Linked DNA regions of Arabidopsis thaliana. The protein of the gene in region 3 binds, or shares a complex with, the protein of the main gene of each other region. Each region holds a gene or a part of one and is shown on either strand. Other genes may lie near its edges. The genes, in order: VRN2, FIE and VIN3.

Region 1 (6,202 bases), on a different chromosome or scaffold from region 3:
CGCATCGAAGAATCGTTGGGAAGACGTTGCAAGGGTTCGCAAGAGAATGAAAGAGAGCAATGTTGTGAAGGTAGAGCGAGTCAAAGTTCGATTCTTTATTCGAGTTACAAGACTCTAATGTATTTACTTGACTGTTTCAGGTACCTGGATACAGTTGGATCGAAATACGAAACAAAGTTCACCATTTCAGATCAAGTGATCGGATTCACCCTGAACTAGACTCAATACACAAGAAACTGAAGGAGTTGGAGAAGAAGATGAAACTAGCTGGATACAAACCGGAACTAGAGTTTGCTTTACACAATGTAGAGGAAGAGCAAAAAGAGAAGCTATTGTTATGGCACAGCGAGAAGTTAGCTGTTGCATTTGGTTGCATAAAACTCCCTCAAGGTTCACAGATACAAGTGTTCAAGAACTTGAGAATCTGTGGTGATTGTCATAAAGCAATCAAATTTATCTCGGAGATAGAGAAACGAGAGATCATTGTAAGAGACACCACAAGGTTTCACCATTTCAAAGATGGGTCTTGCTCTTGTGGCGATTACTGGTGAAAAGAGAAGAGCTTTGACTCTCTCATTGGTCAAACCTGACTGTATTTATATGCGTTATTGTGTGGTAAAGTTTCGACCTTTGACTTGACAAGTTGCCGTTAAGAAGAGAGATGCGTAGATCAGCGAGTGGTTCTAGAGTTTTGGATCATTTTCCGGCGACTTCAAGGTCTCCGCCTCGATCTCAGAGTGTTACAGCAATGGAAGATGATGTGGAGCTGCTTTTGCCTAGGTACGATCCGAATTCTCAAGCGGGGAAGAGAGAGAAATCAAGATTCAGATTTTCAGAAAACGTCATCCATTTGATTCCTCTCATTCTTCTTCTCTGTGTCGCAATCCTCTGGCTCTCCTCTTACTCAGGTAAGCCGAGAAATTGTTTCAATCTCTATGAATCCATAATTGATCTGTGAAACTTAATTAGGGATTTTACAAAGACTCATATGGATATGAGGATCGAGATGTCTCTGCAACGTTAGAATCTTGTGTTGAATTATGGTTTCAATTTGTTCATATAATACTAAATCGGTGATGGATTTGGAATTTGTCAGCAGCGTTAAGGAGTTGAGTTCCAAAAGCAACATGTTGTCTTGTCTCCATGGGAACTCATATTCAGTTTTGGGAAAGGAAACAATTCTTTTACCGCCGGTGATTTTGTGCCGCAAACCATTCGTATTTGTAATTTTTGGTTCTGTAGACACACAAAAGGATCTCTCGTTTTCATGAAATGTATGTTTAATATTTCAGTGATATACATCACACAACTCAAGTAGAAAACACTGATGGTTATCCATTAATCATTCTATTGGTCGAAAAAAAGATTAGTTTCAACTTAATGCCACCTTAGGATTATATGTTCCTGTGAGTTTCAGCTAGCCAACTCAACTAGAGTTAAACAATGGAATCAAAATACATATTCAGTAATTTATTTTAAACTCTGACTATTTATGTAAAACACAAATGGAAATCAAAATTGAAGGTCATGAAGATTCTATTCTTAGTGTGAAAAGTATAGATCAATGATTCTTAATTTCTTCATCCTCCACGCATAGATCAATGGTGAATATGGTTTTAAATCCTCTAATACTCACTGTACTGCCATGGTAGAGTTAAAAAAACAATTTTAGAAATATTAGTGGATTAAGGCATTAAGCTGTCCAAGTTGCTTGTATTTTCTTTTCATTTTATTAATTAAAAAAAAAGTTCAACTATTTATTGACTAATAATAATACGTGTTAAATGGTTATCGGTTTAAAATATGGGCCATAGGCCCAGACTTGAAGAAAAACTTGAAACCCAAAGTTTTATTTTTACTTGTTTTCTTTCTCAGTGAATATCTCCCAATCAAGCTTCTTCAATTTTGCTTGCTCTCTCTCTTACACGGCCAATCGGTGTTTTCGCAGCTTTCAGGTTTGTCTCAATCTCAAATTAAATCGGAGTCAAGTAATAACAATTGATAACCCTAATTGTTTCAATTATATTGTAAGATTTGAAATTTTGCAGTAGATCCGGAATCGTATTCTAGTTCTGGAATCGTTGATCTCGATGGAATTTTTTTTAAGATTTCTTCATACACATTTGGTTCAAAAGATCACATAATTTTATTTTAATTTGATAAGTATGATGATTCTGCTAAGTGGCATTGGATAAAGTTTTCATTTTTGCAATACGTCTAAACTTGTCTATGTCTTGAATGAACTCTCTGAGTTGCTTAAAAAGTCTTGTGCTTTCTTTATTACACAGGCCTCAATACAAGACATTCTATATAAGCATATTGCAGAAGAGGCGGTTCTAATTGTTGCATGGAGTTGAACAATATGACGTAGGGAAATTCTAATTTAGGGGAGGCCTCAGAGTTTGCACTAACTTCATAATCAGCTCTGGACGTTGTTGATTGTATTTGAACAAGAATGTGTAGGCAGAATTGTCGCGCGAAATCCTCACCGGAGGAAGTGATTTCAACTGATGAGAATCTCTTGATATATTGTAAACCTGTTCGACTATATAACATCTTTCACCTTCGCTCTCTAGGCAACGTATGATTTGGCCTTCCTCTCTCATCATTTTAGCTTAGTAATCTTTCATCTCCTGTGTAGATCACCCACTAATAGTTTGAGTTTGCTAAGCTGATTATGGTCTGACTCATGGCGAGTGTGTGCTTCTTTTGTCTCCTAATGTTATTTGAACTTGTTGTTTGTTGTTGCAGCCATCGTTTCTGCCAAGATGCTTGAACTACAAAATTGGGGCAAAGCGCAAAAGAAAGTATGCGTTTCTTCTTGAATGTAGTTGCCACAGTGATATGTTATTTATCTTACTTCTAATATGGAAGCTGATGAACTATTTATCTTTGTTGAGTAGATATGGACATAATGAATGGTTTCTTCTTTGTTCATGCTATACACTTATATTTTACAAAATTGTGTTTTGCTTAGGTCAAGATCTACTGGGATGGTAGTTTTCAACTATAAGGATTGTAATAATACATTACAAAGAACTGAAGGTTAGTCTTTTTCTGTTCTTCGACAAAATTCGATGTCAATGTCTATGTTTCTCTAGATGATTTGTTATTTACTATTTTTTTCTGTATTGTCACGCAGTTAGGGAGGATTGTTCTTGTCCATTTTGCTCTATGCTATGTGGTAGCTTCAAGGTGGGCAACTATTACAACTGAGGTTTCTTCCGGGGCCTTTCATATCTAACACTGTGAAATGCTACTGCCGTTTAATGCTATATACTTTCACTGTTTGGTTACATATTTTTGTGTTTGTTGTTTGTCTTCTTGCTCTTTTTAAACTGCTGAGTGTGTGCTTATCTGAGAAAACATGTTCCAGTTCGAGCTTACAATCCATTGTCTTGTGTCTATGCAGGGGCTGCAATTTCATTTGAATTCATCTCATGATTTATTTGAATTTGAGTTCAAGGTATGTGGTTTTATGGAATTTCTTGTTTTGCCTATGCCGTTAGTAATGAGGTTATAGTTAAAAAAGGGTCTTTCCTATTGTAGCTTTTGGAAGAATACCAGACAGTTAATGTTTCTGTAAAACTTAATTCCTTCATATTTGAGGTCAGTTACTTTAAACTTGGTTAATTGGGAAATCCTATAGCTGGTGAAAATTTGGTTTATATTCCATCCTTATTTGTACTAGGAAGAAGGAAGTGATGATGATAAATTTGAGCCCTTCTCTCTCTGGTAACTCTCAGAACCCCTTGATTAAATACCTTAATAGCAGTAACTCCTTGCTTTTCTTGTCAGTACTTCTCTATAAATCCAACCACAATGTTTTGCAGCTCGAAACCTCGTAAGCGTAGACAAAGAGGTGGCAGAAATAACACCAGGAGACTTAAAGTATGCTTTTTACCGTTGGATTCACCCAGTTTAGCTAATGGCACAGAAAATGGAATTGCCCTGCTGAATGATGGTAAAATCACATCTTCTTCTGTGGTATTCGTTGTGGCTTAGAACTTCATTTTACAGAAGAAGATACAATGTCCTGATTGTTTAGTTTTTGTACTTCTCCTCGCATTCTTCTTGTGAGGGTAATGTTACCAGAACTGATGTACAAAATTAATGGCATGCTACAGGAAACCGTGGTTTAGGATATCCCGAGGCAACAGAGCTTGCTGGACAATTTGAGATGACTAGCAACATTCCACCAGCCATAGCCCACTCTTCTCTGGACGCTGGTGCTAAAGTTATATTAACAACCGAAGCTGTGGTCCCTGCTACTAAGACAAGAAAGTTATCTGCTGAGCGATCAGAGGCTAGAAGGTTTGTTCATCATGACACCCCGTCATCATAATTACCATACCTGTTGTTACAAATGTTCTTCCTATTATGGATAAGTGTTTACTGTACTGCCATATTAACCGAGAAAATTTCTTCCAGCCACCTACTTCTTCAGAAACGCCAATTCTATCATTCTCACAGAGTCCAGGTGATCCAAGTTCCTTCACCTACTTCTTAGGCATTTTCTTTAAATTGCTCATGATGATATCTTATCAAAGCATACTTGGTTTGTTCTCATCTAAATTTGTATTTTGATTCTGTATGTATCAACGCAAAAAAATTATGTCCATGTTGTCTCCGTTTTATTGCCACTAACCAAAAACTGCATGTTTCTTGTGACAAGCCAATGGCGCTTGAGCAAGTAATGTCTGATCGGGATAGCGAGGATGAAGTCGATGACGATGTTGCAGATTTTGAAGATCGCCAGGTATTCCATGATTTCTTTCTGCGTTCATTAAGTAGGCAACAGAAAATGGTATACGATGTAACTTGCTAATGGCTTTTGAAACTTAAAAAAGCTGCAGATGCTTGATGACTTTGTGGATGTGAATAAAGATGAAAAGCAATTCATGCATCTTTGGAACTCGTTTGTAAGAAAACAAAGGTAACTACTTCTCTTACACTTGAACACACACAAAAAGACCTTATGTCTTACATTCCATACCTGTCTAAATGATTCTGCTTATGGAACTTTGAGCTCAAATTATGATTGATGTTTGCAGGGTTATAGCAGATGGTCATATCTCTTGGGCATGTGAAGTATTTTCAAGATTTTACGAGAAAGAGTTGCACTGTTACTCATCACTCTTCTGGTAATATAAGTACACCAAACATATACAGACACATAACTACACTATCAATTTTGTTTCGTTTTTCTGAAAGAAAAATAAAAAATTCCAGGTGTTGGAGATTGTTTTTGATTAAACTATGGAACCATGGACTTGTCGACTCAGCCACCATCAACAACTGCAATACCATCCTCGAGAATTGCCGTAATACCTCAGTCACTAACAACAACAACAACAGTGTGGATCATCCCAGTGACTCAAACACCAACAACAATAACATTGTGGATCATCCGAATGACATAAAAAACAAGAACAATGTTGACAACAAGGACAATAACAGCAGAGACAAGTAATTAAATAGGAAACACTCCGGTTTAGATGATACCGATCTATCGGATTGTAACTTATTCTTCTTTCTTAAAAAAATTGTTTAGGAGCAAACAAAGATTTTATTTGTTAGTGTATTCAACTGATTACATTTTTAGTTAAAAAAATGGATTCTCCTTAATAACTAAAGACTGAAAAATAAGATAAGTTTCCTTAATTTTTCTTTTTGACTTGAGAAAAAGCTCCTCTAGACCTCTAGTAAATAGGAGTTATATATTAATCAAGTACATAACATAAAAATATATATATTAAGTGCAAATAGATTGAAAACAAATCAAGAAATTAATTAAGACACAGTGATTAAGCTTAAAACCCCATTTTGACTTGTTCTTTCTCAATGAATCCCTCACAAGCAGCAAGCTTCTTCGATTTTGCTTTGACACCACCAATCAGTGTTTTCGAATCTTTCAGGTTTGTCTCGATTTCAAACTAGATCGGAGTCAAGTGATAAAATTGACTAACATAATTATTCCCGTTCTCTCGTAAGAGTTGGGATTTAGCAGTAGATCGGAAATCGGAATTTACGTTTTTGTTAAAAGATTGATGGTTTAGGTAATAAAACATAGTTCTGGATTCATTGCTTCTAGTTGATTCTCGAATTGTTTGATTTCGCAATGCACATTTTTGGTTCAAAGGATCACATAATTTGCTTTAAAATTTGACAAAACATACCATCAAATTTCTCATATTTCTTC
Region 2 (6,154 bases), on a different chromosome or scaffold from region 3:
AGGGAATTTGATAATATGAAATGGATAGATTTTACTGCTTAATTTTTAATCATTTTTTATCAGAAACTTTTTCGTTTTAAATCTACGGCTAGAATTTTCGGTCGGTTTTATACTTTATATAGATGCTAGATTTTTTTCTTCTAGTCATCGTTTATTAGTACAATTTTGTTTTTATATATTGATTACTTGAATTTATAATAGGATTGGTACAAAGGTGGTAATTATAAAGTGCATTTTTTTGGATATTGTTCAATTCAAATATTTTTACTTAGATTCTCAAACTATTGAAAAATATCCAAAATATCCGGAAAATTTCAATTTAATCGAATAAAAAAATTAGAATGGAAAGAATAAAAAATTATCGGGTACAATTAGAAGAGTAATGTGTTTAGTTTGGTTTTTACTCGGATACCAGTTCAGTTTTCACGTATTATTCGATCCTATAGGAGCAATTGTGAATTAGTTGTGAGATTTTGGGAGCATTCGCTTCCAGAACTTAGTGCTAGGAGAAATGCTATTTTCCTATAAGAGTTGTACGAGGAAGCGAGCAAGTACACAACAACCACAAAAGCTTTCAATACTTGTTTACTCCTAGGGTTTAAAACTAGAGGTTCTATAGATCTCTAAATTTTTTTGAACAAATGTGTTTTCCACACGTGATATTCTACAATACCACTCGAAAATTATCCATAATTGCTTTAAACTATTTTTTTGTTTAAATTATATAATTTGTACCGTTGTAAACTGATTATTTCAAATTATAATTAAAGCACTATAATTTCATATATTACATTCAACATATATTAAAATAAACTATAACCATGTATTTTTTTGTCTTCCTTTCCTATAAACATTGATTGGACTCTATCGTAAATTTTGTCGTTATCGCAAATTTTGTCGTTATCGATGAGTTTCTCAAAGTTTGGACCTTGATTATCTTGTTTGGAGATGTTCAAATCGTTATATCCAAATAGTGAACTTCTAATTTTCTTTTTTGATAATGTGACTTATTTGGAAAAGTATTCCAAAGTATTCAAATAAACCCTTTAAAAATCCATTAAATACATTTTAAATAAGTAAAATGCTCTCAACGAAGAGATATCATGGTAAATAACAACAGTGAGAGGATAAAATGTTAAATCAATTTATTTACAACTTCAAATAGGCGGACATCAAACCTACTTAGCACACTTTCTATTTTCAAATTGGTTATGGTTTGTCTATTAGTTGTTGCATCTATGTTTTTTAATTCTTATATCGGTGATCTTGATTTTGTTTTGGTGTATCTAAAATCTATTTTAGTTAAAGTGCAAGAAAATAAAATAAAAACTTAAGGTAAGAGATGAAAGTAAGCTTTAAATAAAACAGAGCACTTCTATGGTCGATTATAGAGCCAAGTTCGTTCCTCCATTTTGGCTTAATGCAATATTACAAGTAAATCTTATAAAACTTTCCATAAGTATCGTATTACCCATGGATACTATGATATATAAACTCTCGGAGGTGTAGTCCAGAAGAAATGATCCATATTTGCATACAGTAAACTTGATGGAAAAAATATGTGGTACTGTTGGAATTGTAGCTATTGAGTATCAAATTTGAGAAAAAGGTAAAAAAATATGTAAAATTTGGGTGGAAGAAAAGAATTACATAAAATTGAGAAATGTATGTAATTGACAAAATAATGTTTTCAAAACATAAAAACGTGATACCATTTAAATCCAAACCTTATATCATTTAACCATTTTTAGTAAAACTAATAGTAATGAATGGTCAATAATATAAGATTACATATTAAATAATTACTACTTTCAGAAAATTTCAATCAAATCTATAATATTCCTTTGAAAAAAAAGAAAGACAAATAGGTAAACTTCGATCGTATCAATCAAAGAATATATTTATTTTTCATCGTAACGTTTAATTCTAAGTCCTATTAAAAAACGTTAAATTTGATTTTTCTTACCATTTTTTTCTAAAAGGTGAGTTGTGTGTTGTGTCAGGTCCAAAATAAAAGTTTGTCGTGAGGTCAAAATCTACGGTTACAGTAATTTTAATAACCTGTGAATCTGTGTCTAATCGAAAATTACAAAACACCAGTTGTTGTTGCATGAGAGACTTGTGAGCTTAGATTAGTGTGCGAGAGTCAGACAGAGAGAGAGATTTCGAATATCGAATGTCGAAGATAACCTTAGGGAACGAGTCAATAGTTGGGTCTTTGACTCCATCGAATAAGAAATCGTACAAAGTGACGAATAGGATTCAGGAAGGGAAGAAACCTTTGTATGCTGTTGTTTTCAACTTCCTTGATGCTCGTTTCTTCGATGTCTTCGTTACCGCTGGTGGAAATCGGGTAAAAGATCTCGACTTTCAATTCGAAATCACTGTTTTCAATTCTGGGTCTGTTTAGGTTTTGATTCAGATTGATTGTAACATTAAGGCCTTTCCTTTTGTGTTTGATTTTGGATTCTGATTTCTAGCCTTTAGTGAGATTAAAAGATTGAAACTTTGCTTGATGCTATAGTCTAAGATTATGTAACATTTAGTTCAAACTTTCTGGTTTTGGAGATTTTGTGGAAGATATGGTTTTTGTTTTCTAATTTAAAGTGAACTCATTACCTTATACACTTGATTTGCATTCTGTTCTAAAAAAAATTGAAACTTTGGTTGATGTTGTTAGTCTGCTTATCTAAGGAGGTTCCTTTTGAAACGGTCATCAAGTGAGTTATGAAGCGTTTAGTTTAAGCTTTCCTGTATTGGAGATTTTGTGGAAGTTATTTTTTTTTCTAATTTTGAAACTAGATAGAGTGAAGTCATTACCTTATACATTAGACTGCTCTATTTTGTTTTCAATGTGGGTTCCGAATGTACCTGATAGTGGCTCTTTAGGCTCATTTGTATTCGTCGAAACATCGATCGGATACCCGTTTGGGCTTAGTAGGCTCTGATACCGCGTAAAGTTCTCGGGTTCCATGAAAAACCAATCGGTAATGAGTGGAGTTAATTTGTAATCGTCTTCGGTCGAGCATTTGGGATTAGTGGGCTTTGATACCATGTGAAAGTCCTTGGGGTCCAATCGGCAATGAGTAGAGTTAACTTGTAATCTTACACACTTGGTTAGGTCTCATTCTCTTTATAATGTTGTGTGCCTAACAGTTTCCGCACTAAGGTTGTTTGGTTGCTCAGTCTCAATATACTTATCTTAACTAGTTGTAGTTTTTTTCATCTTTCCTAGTTTCCGTTGGATTTTAAATTGAATGATTTACTAGTTAGAAATATTTGAGTTTCTCATAGAAGCTTTAACCAAGGGGTTCTTTCATTTAACCTTTACTTAGCTAGTTCATGAATCTCATTACTGCCATTGGTGTATCTCTTATTATGTAGATTACTCTGTACAATTGTCTCGGAGATGGTGCCATATCAGCATTGCAATCCTATGCTGATGAAGATGTAAGGAAGCATACATATTAGCTTTTCCATCAAATTAAAGTAAGTGATGTTTCACTGAGGCCATTTGGTTATATTTTGTCTATGTCCTCTGGAGAGCAGAAGGAAGAGTCGTTTTACACGGTAAGTTGGGCGTGTGGCGTTAATGGGAACCCATATGTTGCGGCTGGAGGAGTAAAAGGTATAATCCGAGTCATTGACGTCAACAGTGAAACGATTCATAAGGTATTATTGCATTTTTATGGATGTTCTATGTATCCTAGCAAATGATTCTATATCTTTCTTGTATAATCTGTGCTCGCAAATGTGCAGAGTCTTGTGGGTCATGGAGATTCAGTGAACGAAATCAGGACACAACCTTTAAAACCTCAACTTGTGATTACTGCTAGCAAGGTATATCTCTTGGCTTTCTTTTCTTCCTAAAGTATCCTGACTTCTTTTTTATTTGTTGGTGATTAAGAGCTGTTACGTTTTAATTGAATAAGGATGAATCTGTTCGTTTGTGGAATGTTGAAACTGGGATATGTATTTTGATATTTGCTGGAGCTGGAGGTCATCGCTATGAAGTTCTAAGTGTGGTGAGCCAATATTGTTTTATCTAATTCAGTTAGTTTTCTACAATAATATATAGAGACAATGTTAAGGGGAACCATCTTATTTTGAAAATTGTAGGATTTTCATCCGTCTGATATTTACCGCTTTGCTAGTTGTGGTATGGACACCACTATTAAAATATGGTCAATGAAAGGTACGATCGAGCACATATTGTAATAAACTTCCATTTTAAAAAACCTTTTGAGAAAAATGGCTTGTGGTTCGTTTGTATGATCTTCTTATTCTTTGGCTGTCTATAGAGTTTTGGACGTACGTCGAGAAGTCATTCACATGGACTGATGATCCATCAAAATTCCCCACAAAATTTGTCCAATTCCCTGTAAGTATTTTGTTTTAGCCTTGTCTTGTAACAACAAGTGACATACAAATATTGGTGATGGCCTTTGTAAATAACATTACTTCTATATGTAGGTATTTACAGCTTCCATTCATACAAATTATGTAGATTGTAACCGTTGGTTTGGTGATTTTATCCTCTCAAAGGTTAGTAAGTCAATGATGGTTAAGATTAATTCATTTGGTGTACTGTTAAAACACTTTACTCTTGTGTTGTTCTATCGGATTTTAGAGTGTGGACAACGAGATCCTGTTGTGGGAACCACAACTGAAAGAGAATTCTCCTGGCGAGGTTAGGATCTCATTGTTGCTCCAAACACAACATAATCATTCATTTCATCACATATATTTACAGTTGAACTTTTTGTGGTTTGCAGGGAGCTTCAGATGTTCTATTAAGATACCCGGTTCCAATGTGTGATATTTGGTTTATCAAGTTTTCTTGTGACCTCCATTTAAGTTCTGTTGCGATAGGTAATCAGAGAGCTCGTTAGATACAAATTTGCATTCTATAGATAGATTACTTCAACTTTTCTTATTCATTTTGTGACAAATTACTCGCTGGTTTGTTATCAGGTAATCAGGAAGGAAAGGTTTATGTCTGGGATTTGAAAAGTTGCCCTCCTGTTTTGATTACAAAGTAAGTTAGTTTCGGATTCAGATACAATGTTTGATCTTTAAGAAATGTTTTAGTCTTGACATGATTTTCTGTTGCCATATAGGTTATCACACAATCAATCAAAGTCTGTAATCAGGCAAACAGCCATGTCTGTCGATGGAAGGTATAAATCCATCTTCTCTCTCACCAATGCAGTGAAAATTTCTTAATGTTATTTATGACTCAATAGTTACTGTAAATCAAACCAAACTTTGGATTCTGACACACTGTTTCTTCCATGGGATTGTAGCACGATTCTTGCTTGCTGCGAGGACGGGACTATATGGCGCTGGGACGTGATTACCAAGTAGCGGTCTGAGTCTTGTAGGAATTGATGAATTAGGAGTGCGAAGAAATGAGATATCCATTCTTTTATTGTAATTCTGATCATGTTGCTACTCCCTGAGACCTTGAGATGCTCTTTGTAGCCTTGTTAACGTCCACCCTTGTACCACAGTGTATACCCTTTCTGGAGATTTTGTCTTATTCTCTTAGTTCAATACACAAGGCTGTATCCTGGAGCTTTATTGCAGGAACCACTCTCTTTCATAAGCTTTCTAGTATTCAAAGCATTGTCCCATGCTCCATTAGCTGCATACACACTGGCCAAATTGATGTAATTGACTGGTTTCCTCGGTTCCATACTCAGAAGCTGCGTGGCTGCTACTTTACTGAGCTGCACATTCCCATGGCGCCTGCATGCATCAAGAAAAGCTCCCCATGTTGATGAGCTAAGACTTACAATACCCTCTTTACTTCTTATCAGTGCATAAGCTTCTTCCAAGTAGCCACTGCGCGCAAGCATATCTATGATGCAAGATAAGTGCTCTTCTCGAGCTTCGATTCCGTGCTTGTTGATCATTGTGTCGTAAATCTTCCAGCCTAGTTCGGTTTGTCCTGTATGACTACAAGCAGAGAGGAGAGAAAGAAATGTAACGTCATTCGGTTTGATCCTTTCATGCTCCATTCTGTTATAAAGATCAATTGCTTTCTCAAAATTCCCATGTCTTCCATATCCTGCAATCAAAGAGGTCCATGATCTCACATCTTTCTCTTTCATCTCTTCGAAAGCCAGGACTGCATCCTCGATTTCCCCAG
Region 3 (5,514 bases):
CACAAATTATTATCAAGATCGAATATACAATTAGTTGGTCATAAAACACTTTTGAAAAACCATAATTGCATCCATAATGTTTAGTAACTAACATTTAACCTTTTTCATGATTTCCTTTTCGTTCATGTTCTCTTCATGTCCAAGTGTTAGCACATTTCTCTCTTCCAATTGTTTTCAAATGCCACTGCAAGTGAACTTTCTCTAACTTATTTGCTCTAGCGCAGTTTATTTGTTTCTTATACCACGAAGGCCAACGATACAATATTAGAACCTTTCATTGAATATGTTATATATGTTACAAACTTCATATGGATTTTTACGTTTTTACCATGTAATAGCATTGTTCTTCTTCCTCATTTGATGATTTTTTGTTTTTATATCTAAACAATAAATTATGATCTAAACCCTAACTCCAAACACTCTAATTATTCAGTTGGAAAAACTTAGATCGAACATGTCAAAACTAAAAATATGCGGACTTTTAACTGGTTTAGCCCTACCTCCACCACCCCTTCTCACCCTGTCCCGTCTCTTTACATGATAATGCTCATTTTGCACATTTTAGTCAAATCCTCTTTTGATCCACAATACAACTTACTAACCTGAAATAACTTGGGTTAAGATATATCATGTGAATGTTTATGGAATTCTATTACAAAATTAAGTTACAATTATTGCATGTATCTTTGTCATAATCACTCGTTCATGAATTCTAACATAATTTTTAATCGAATGTGGATTCTTAATTTTCTTTTGGCAAAAAGTCACTCGTCCCAAAAGAATTAGTCGAAGAAATTCTTTACATGGGATGCTAATTCAAAAAAAAAACTTTTGGCAAATCGCTTTTTTTGGTATCTGGACCGACCGTCTTCATGGGCAAACTAAAATTGTTAATGGCTATATTAGTACTTGTCTAGTACAAGTTGTATTACTAAACTGTACTATTAAAGTATTTGTAGATGAACTAAATTTTAAAGATGAATTAAGTTTACTTGACTCCGTTTTCTCCACCCAAATTTGAATCCATTAAGCGTTATCCCCTCTAGTAAACTTTCACCTAAAAAATCCATTGACTATAGATCGAGTCTACTCGATTTAAAGATGTCCAAAAAACAAAAAAAGATGAACTAAAGTAATCAGTTATTTAAGAAAATCTTTTACATCAGTTGGTTTAGAAAACATAATTTAATCTAACGGAACTTCTCATTTTCATATGATAATCTATATATAGAATATTAACCTTCTTTTATTGTTAACGTTTTGTGGATTTTGAAAATTTGAACTAATACTAGATGTTTAACTTTGTTAATAAAATACTACTAATCATCACAAATTAACGTAGATGATGCAAAACAAAAATATGTGAAAGTTTTTAAGAGATCTGCATTTTGTAAACTTCACAAAAACTAAAAACCCTTGTCACAAAATCTAAACTCAGAATTCTGAAATTATAAACTAATAACTTTGTTGTTTAAGACTTACTCGAAGTTTGTACACGATAGTTCATACACCATATCAACATTATCATAATCTCTTCTCCCCTCTTCTTATAAAAGAAAAAATAATATTTTCAAAAAAAAAAAAAAAAAACTTGTATATAAACAAACTATTAAATTCAATAAAAAGATTTATAAAATTTATGATAGTAAATAAAAATGATTTTACATATCGTAATATTTCGAACATATAGTAGTGAGTCATAAGCGACATCCTAGAAAAGGTATATACAATAAGTCCAGCATTGGTTACAGGTCAAATCAAAGCATTTGCGTATATAATATCTTCCAAAGCACGTGAAGATATTTCCAACGTTTTTTTTAATATTAAAAAATACACAAAACCAAAATTCTAAAGAACTTTAAAAAAAAAAGCTCTCATCAGAGCAGAAGTTTCATCCATCAGAGGGTTTCCTCCTTAGAAACATCTAGAAAAAACAAAAGGAGAGAGAGAGAGAGAAGAACCATCCATCACAGAAACATCTTTTCCTTTTTCACTAAATCCCCATAAAAGATCTCTAAAATAAACCTAGCAAAAAAAAAAATCAAGAGAAAAAAAACGAAGAACACGAAGAACGACAAACAAAAAAAAAATGCAAGCTGCTTCGGTAAACAGCGTTTTTTTTTTATATAAATATTCTTTGTATGCTGTTTTTTTTTGAAGGCTTCTCATTCGGTGAACAACAACCAATTCTAATTTTGCATATATATTTACTCTCTGAGTATTTGTTTATTTTAATTAAAGAAAATTCTCAATGGTTTGTTCTTAAGACTGAGTCATCCTCGAATCTTTTGTCTAATAGTTACAAATATAGGTTCTTACAAAGTGTATTTCATGGGTTTCTCTTTGGTTGTTTAAAGATTATAACTTCAAAATGAAAATCGATAAAATCTGAATTTTTTTTTCGATCTTGTGTTCTTCATCATCGTAAGTGTTACATCTTTGAGAATTTTTTTTTTGTCTGTACTTAAGTGTTATTGTCAGATTGTTGTGATGGTTTATTTTTTTTGGTTCTTGCTTTAACTTTGACATAATTGAACCTTTTGTGTGAAATCGGATCTCGGCAGCTCTCAAAGATCTGGCGTTTCGATGGTAATGTGGGTCCAGAGAACATGGATTCTTCTTCGTTTGAAGGTACGATATTTTCTCGACGTGAACGTCTCTCTCACTGTTCCTAGTTTCATGCGTTTTAGGTCGTTAACACGACGACGTTTTTACACAATATCAACAAACGTTTTATTTCTCGCATTGGATTCGTCGTCATTGTTGATATTTCGTTTCTGGGTTGTTGAGATTCATTCAAAGTTTTATACTTTTGATCATTTTTACCCCAAAAAGAGTCAGAATCTGTGATCCTCTCCTTTTTATCTTGAGGAGAATCTAGGGCTAAAGGATTGGTCTTTTATGGTGCAGATAATGAATGCATTGAGACTTGTAAACCAAACGTTTTGAATGTAAGTGAAAGGAGAGAATTGATCCACGCATTGTCTAACCAGCCTGAAGAAGCTTCGGAGCTTTTGAATTCATGGAGCAGAAATGAGATCATGAAGATCATATGTGCTGAGATGGGTAAAGAAAGGAAGTACACTGGTCTTAACAAACCAAAGCTCATAGAGAATCTTCTGAATCTTGTGTCTCGTCCTCTTGGAGAGACCTCTTGTTCTGACCGTAGAAACTCGAGGAAGAAGGAGAAGAAGATGATCGGTTACATCATTTGCTGTGAGAATTTAGCTTGTAGAGCTGCGCTTGGATGCGATGATACGTTTTGCAGAAGGTGTTCTTGCTGCATCTGTCAAAAGTTTGATGATAATAAGGATCCTAGTTTATGGCTTACTTGTGATGCTTGTGGATCGTCTTGTCATTTGGAATGTGGTTTGAAGCAAGATAGGTATGGGATTGGGAGTGATGATCTTGATGGTAGGTTTTATTGCGCGTATTGCGGTAAAGATAATGACTTGCTCGGGTAAGGATCTTTAGATATTGAAATCTATGGATATACTACAATGAAAAGAGAATGTAATGTAATGTGTGTGTATGCGAGTGCTTACAGATGCTGGAGAAAACAAGTGAAGGTGGCGAAAGAGACGCGGCGTGTGGATGTACTTTGTTATCGTCTTTCTTTAGGACAGAAGCTGTTGAGAGGTACCACGAAGTATCGGAATCTGTTGGAACTTATGGATGAGGCGGTGAAGAAGCTCGAAGGTGATGTGGGTCCGTTGTCGGGTTGGGCCATGAAGATGGCTCGAGGCATCGTCAATAGACTTTCTTCGGGTGTGCATGTCCAGAAGCTGTGTTCTCAGGCAATGGAAGCTCTGGACAAAGTGGTCTCACCATCAGAATCTGTTTCAGGACAAGGTTAGTGTGTTCATACATTACTTTGGTTTTAAAACCGAAGATGTTGACTTTAGTTCCTGTTAGGTGACAAGATGACCGTGAGAGTAGAAGAGATTCAAGCAAGATCAGTCACTGTGAGAGTAGACTCCGAGGAGCCGTCTTCTTCTACACAAAACAAGATCACAGGTTTCAGGTTGTTTTGTCGAAAGTCGAAGGACGAAGAATGCTCGTCTCAGGGGAATTGTGTTGTTTATCTACCTGAGACGACGTCTGCCATCCAAGGACTTGAACCCGACACCGAGTTCTGTCTCAGAGTGGTTTCCTTTAACGAGGAAGGTGACTTAGATGAGTCTGAGCTTCGGTTCACAACGTTGAAGGATGATGGAGATGAAGCTGGGGACCAGCAAAGCCCTTTGACAAACTCAAGCAGTGGTCTTTGTAGTAATCCATCTTTACCAGAAGATGAATCTAATAATGTCAATAAAAGCTGCAGCAAAGGAAATGGTGACAAGGACAACACTGAACACTGTAGTGCAGGAGAAGTAGAATCTGAGCTTGAAGAAGAGAGGCTTGTAAAGAGGAAAGCAAACAAGATAGATGGAAGAGACTTGCTTGTAACACCCTGCAAGAGAGATATTTATAAAGGAAAGCAAGGAGGGAATAAAAGATTCAAATCAAGAACAGTATCCTTGAACGAGAAACCTGAGATCAATAATGCCGCAAATGGAGTAGGAGATAAAGACTTGGGTCATATTGTTAAGACGATTAGATGTTTAGAGGAAGAAGGACATATAGACAAGAGTTTTAGGGAAAGGTTCTTGACATGGTATAGCTTAAGAGCTACTCACCGAGAAGTAAGAGTTGTGAAGATCTTTGTTGAGACGTTTATGGAGGATCTGTCTTCTTTGGGACAACAGCTTGTGGATACATTCTCAGAAAGTATACTGAGTAAGAGATCATCGACAAATGGTGTAGTACCTGCTGGGATCTGCCTCAAGCTTTGGCATTAAAAGCTTTTGAAATCGGTCTATTTATTAACTCGCTTGATATTGTAAACCATAACGATAATTTTGGAATGAAATTATGTAAGTACGCATTTCCAATTTCTTTCTGATGCTTAGTGAAAAACTCAAAAATGAATAAGCCTGATTTCAAATGAACCATAGTCTGACAGTTAGAGCCGGGAGATTACACACAAACATTAACATTTTTAAATCTCGAAAAAGAAATAACTCACGAGTTGTTTCCAACCAAATTCAGAGAGTACAAGTTTGTTCTCTATAAGACATCAGAACAGAGTCTGGGGAAGAATTGGAGTAACTAGTAACTACTATCTGGGAAATGCAGCTCTAGCCCTCATCTTTTTGACTAGTGTTCAAGACAGCGTTAGAGGGACCTGCAAGATATATTCAAAGGTTGGTGAGCAGAAATCGATCAATGCGAAAACAAAAACTGGATGCAGAGACACGAAAGATTCTAGTTAATAATCAGAAAAACCGAAACTGCTTAATCTCATCAGAGTAAATGATCCAAGGGCAAGTAAATTCTAAATTCAGCTGTTGAGAGTTGAGACCTATTGGTAAATACCAGCACATAGGTGGAATGATCGGTTTTACGCAGTAACTCGCACAACTTGATCTTGTAAGATGCAGATTCAAATGTGCCAAGGCAAGAAAACTAAAA

The links.
Region 1: VIN3 (region 3) and VRN2 share a complex: the UniProt entries of both Arabidopsis thaliana proteins name them as parts of the plant homeodomain / polycomb repressive complex.
Region 2: VIN3 (region 3) and FIE share a complex: the UniProt entries of both Arabidopsis thaliana proteins name them as parts of the plant homeodomain / polycomb repressive complex.

Annotation. Positions count from the first base shown.
Region 1 is NC_003075.7:9,474,253-9,480,454, forward strand, and holds VRN2 (VEFS-Box of polycomb protein), read left to right. Parts: upstream 1-1,816; 5' UTR 1,817-1,955; intron 1,956-2,288; 5' UTR 2,289-2,455; coding exon 2,456-2,581; exon of another isoform or gene 2,582-2,751; coding exon 2,752-2,807; intron 2,808-2,977; coding exon 2,978-3,045; intron 3,046-3,142; coding exon 3,143-3,195; coding exon of another isoform or gene 3,196-3,217; intron 3,218-3,412; coding exon 3,413-3,466; intron 3,467-3,549; coding exon 3,550-3,609; intron 3,610-3,691; coding exon 3,692-3,735; intron 3,736-3,833; coding exon 3,834-3,964; intron 3,965-4,127; coding exon 4,128-4,314; intron 4,315-4,431; coding exon 4,432-4,480; intron 4,481-4,675; coding exon 4,676-4,759; intron 4,760-4,856; coding exon 4,857-4,936; intron 4,937-5,054; coding exon 5,055-5,144; intron 5,145-5,232; coding exon 5,233-5,473; 3' UTR 5,474-5,626; downstream 5,627-6,202. Other genes in the region: AT4G16835 (Tetratricopeptide repeat (TPR)-like superfamily protein), read left to right, coding at 1-70, 141-551; AT4G16840 (uncharacterized protein), read left to right, coding at 662-908, 1,097-1,113. UniProt on the Arabidopsis thaliana protein: Polycomb group (PcG) protein. Plays a central role in vernalization by maintaining repressed the homeotic gene FLC, a floral repressor, after a cold treatment.
Region 2 is NC_003074.8:7,248,277-7,254,430, reverse strand, and holds FIE (Transducin/WD40 repeat-like superfamily protein), read left to right. Parts: upstream 1-1,978; 5' UTR 1,979-2,176; coding exon 2,177-2,353; intron 2,354-3,196; exon of another isoform or gene 3,197-3,384; coding exon 3,385-3,450; intron 3,451-3,549; coding exon 3,550-3,672; intron 3,673-3,759; coding exon 3,760-3,840; intron 3,841-3,932; coding exon 3,933-4,025; intron 4,026-4,119; coding exon 4,120-4,195; intron 4,196-4,301; coding exon 4,302-4,381; intron 4,382-4,473; coding exon 4,474-4,545; intron 4,546-4,630; coding exon 4,631-4,690; intron 4,691-4,775; coding exon 4,776-4,872; intron 4,873-4,974; coding exon 4,975-5,038; intron 5,039-5,120; coding exon 5,121-5,180; intron 5,181-5,306; coding exon 5,307-5,367; 3' UTR 5,368-5,552; downstream 5,553-6,154. Other genes in the region: AT3G20730 (PPR superfamily protein), read right to left, coding at 5,553-6,154. UniProt on the Arabidopsis thaliana protein: Polycomb group (PcG) protein. PcG proteins act by forming multiprotein complexes, which are required to maintain the transcriptionally repressive state of homeotic genes throughout development.
Region 3 is NC_003076.8:23,245,865-23,251,378, reverse strand, and holds VIN3 (Fibronectin type III domain-containing protein), read left to right. Parts: upstream 1-1,874; 5' UTR 1,875-2,089; coding exon 2,090-2,104; intron 2,105-2,513; exon of another isoform or gene 2,514-2,564; coding exon 2,565-2,631; intron 2,632-2,910; coding exon 2,911-3,460; intron 3,461-3,547; coding exon 3,548-3,852; intron 3,853-3,915; coding exon 3,916-4,841; 3' UTR 4,842-4,984; downstream 4,985-5,514. UniProt on the Arabidopsis thaliana protein: Plays a central role in vernalization by mediating the initial transcriptional repression of the homeotic gene FLC, a floral repressor, after a cold treatment.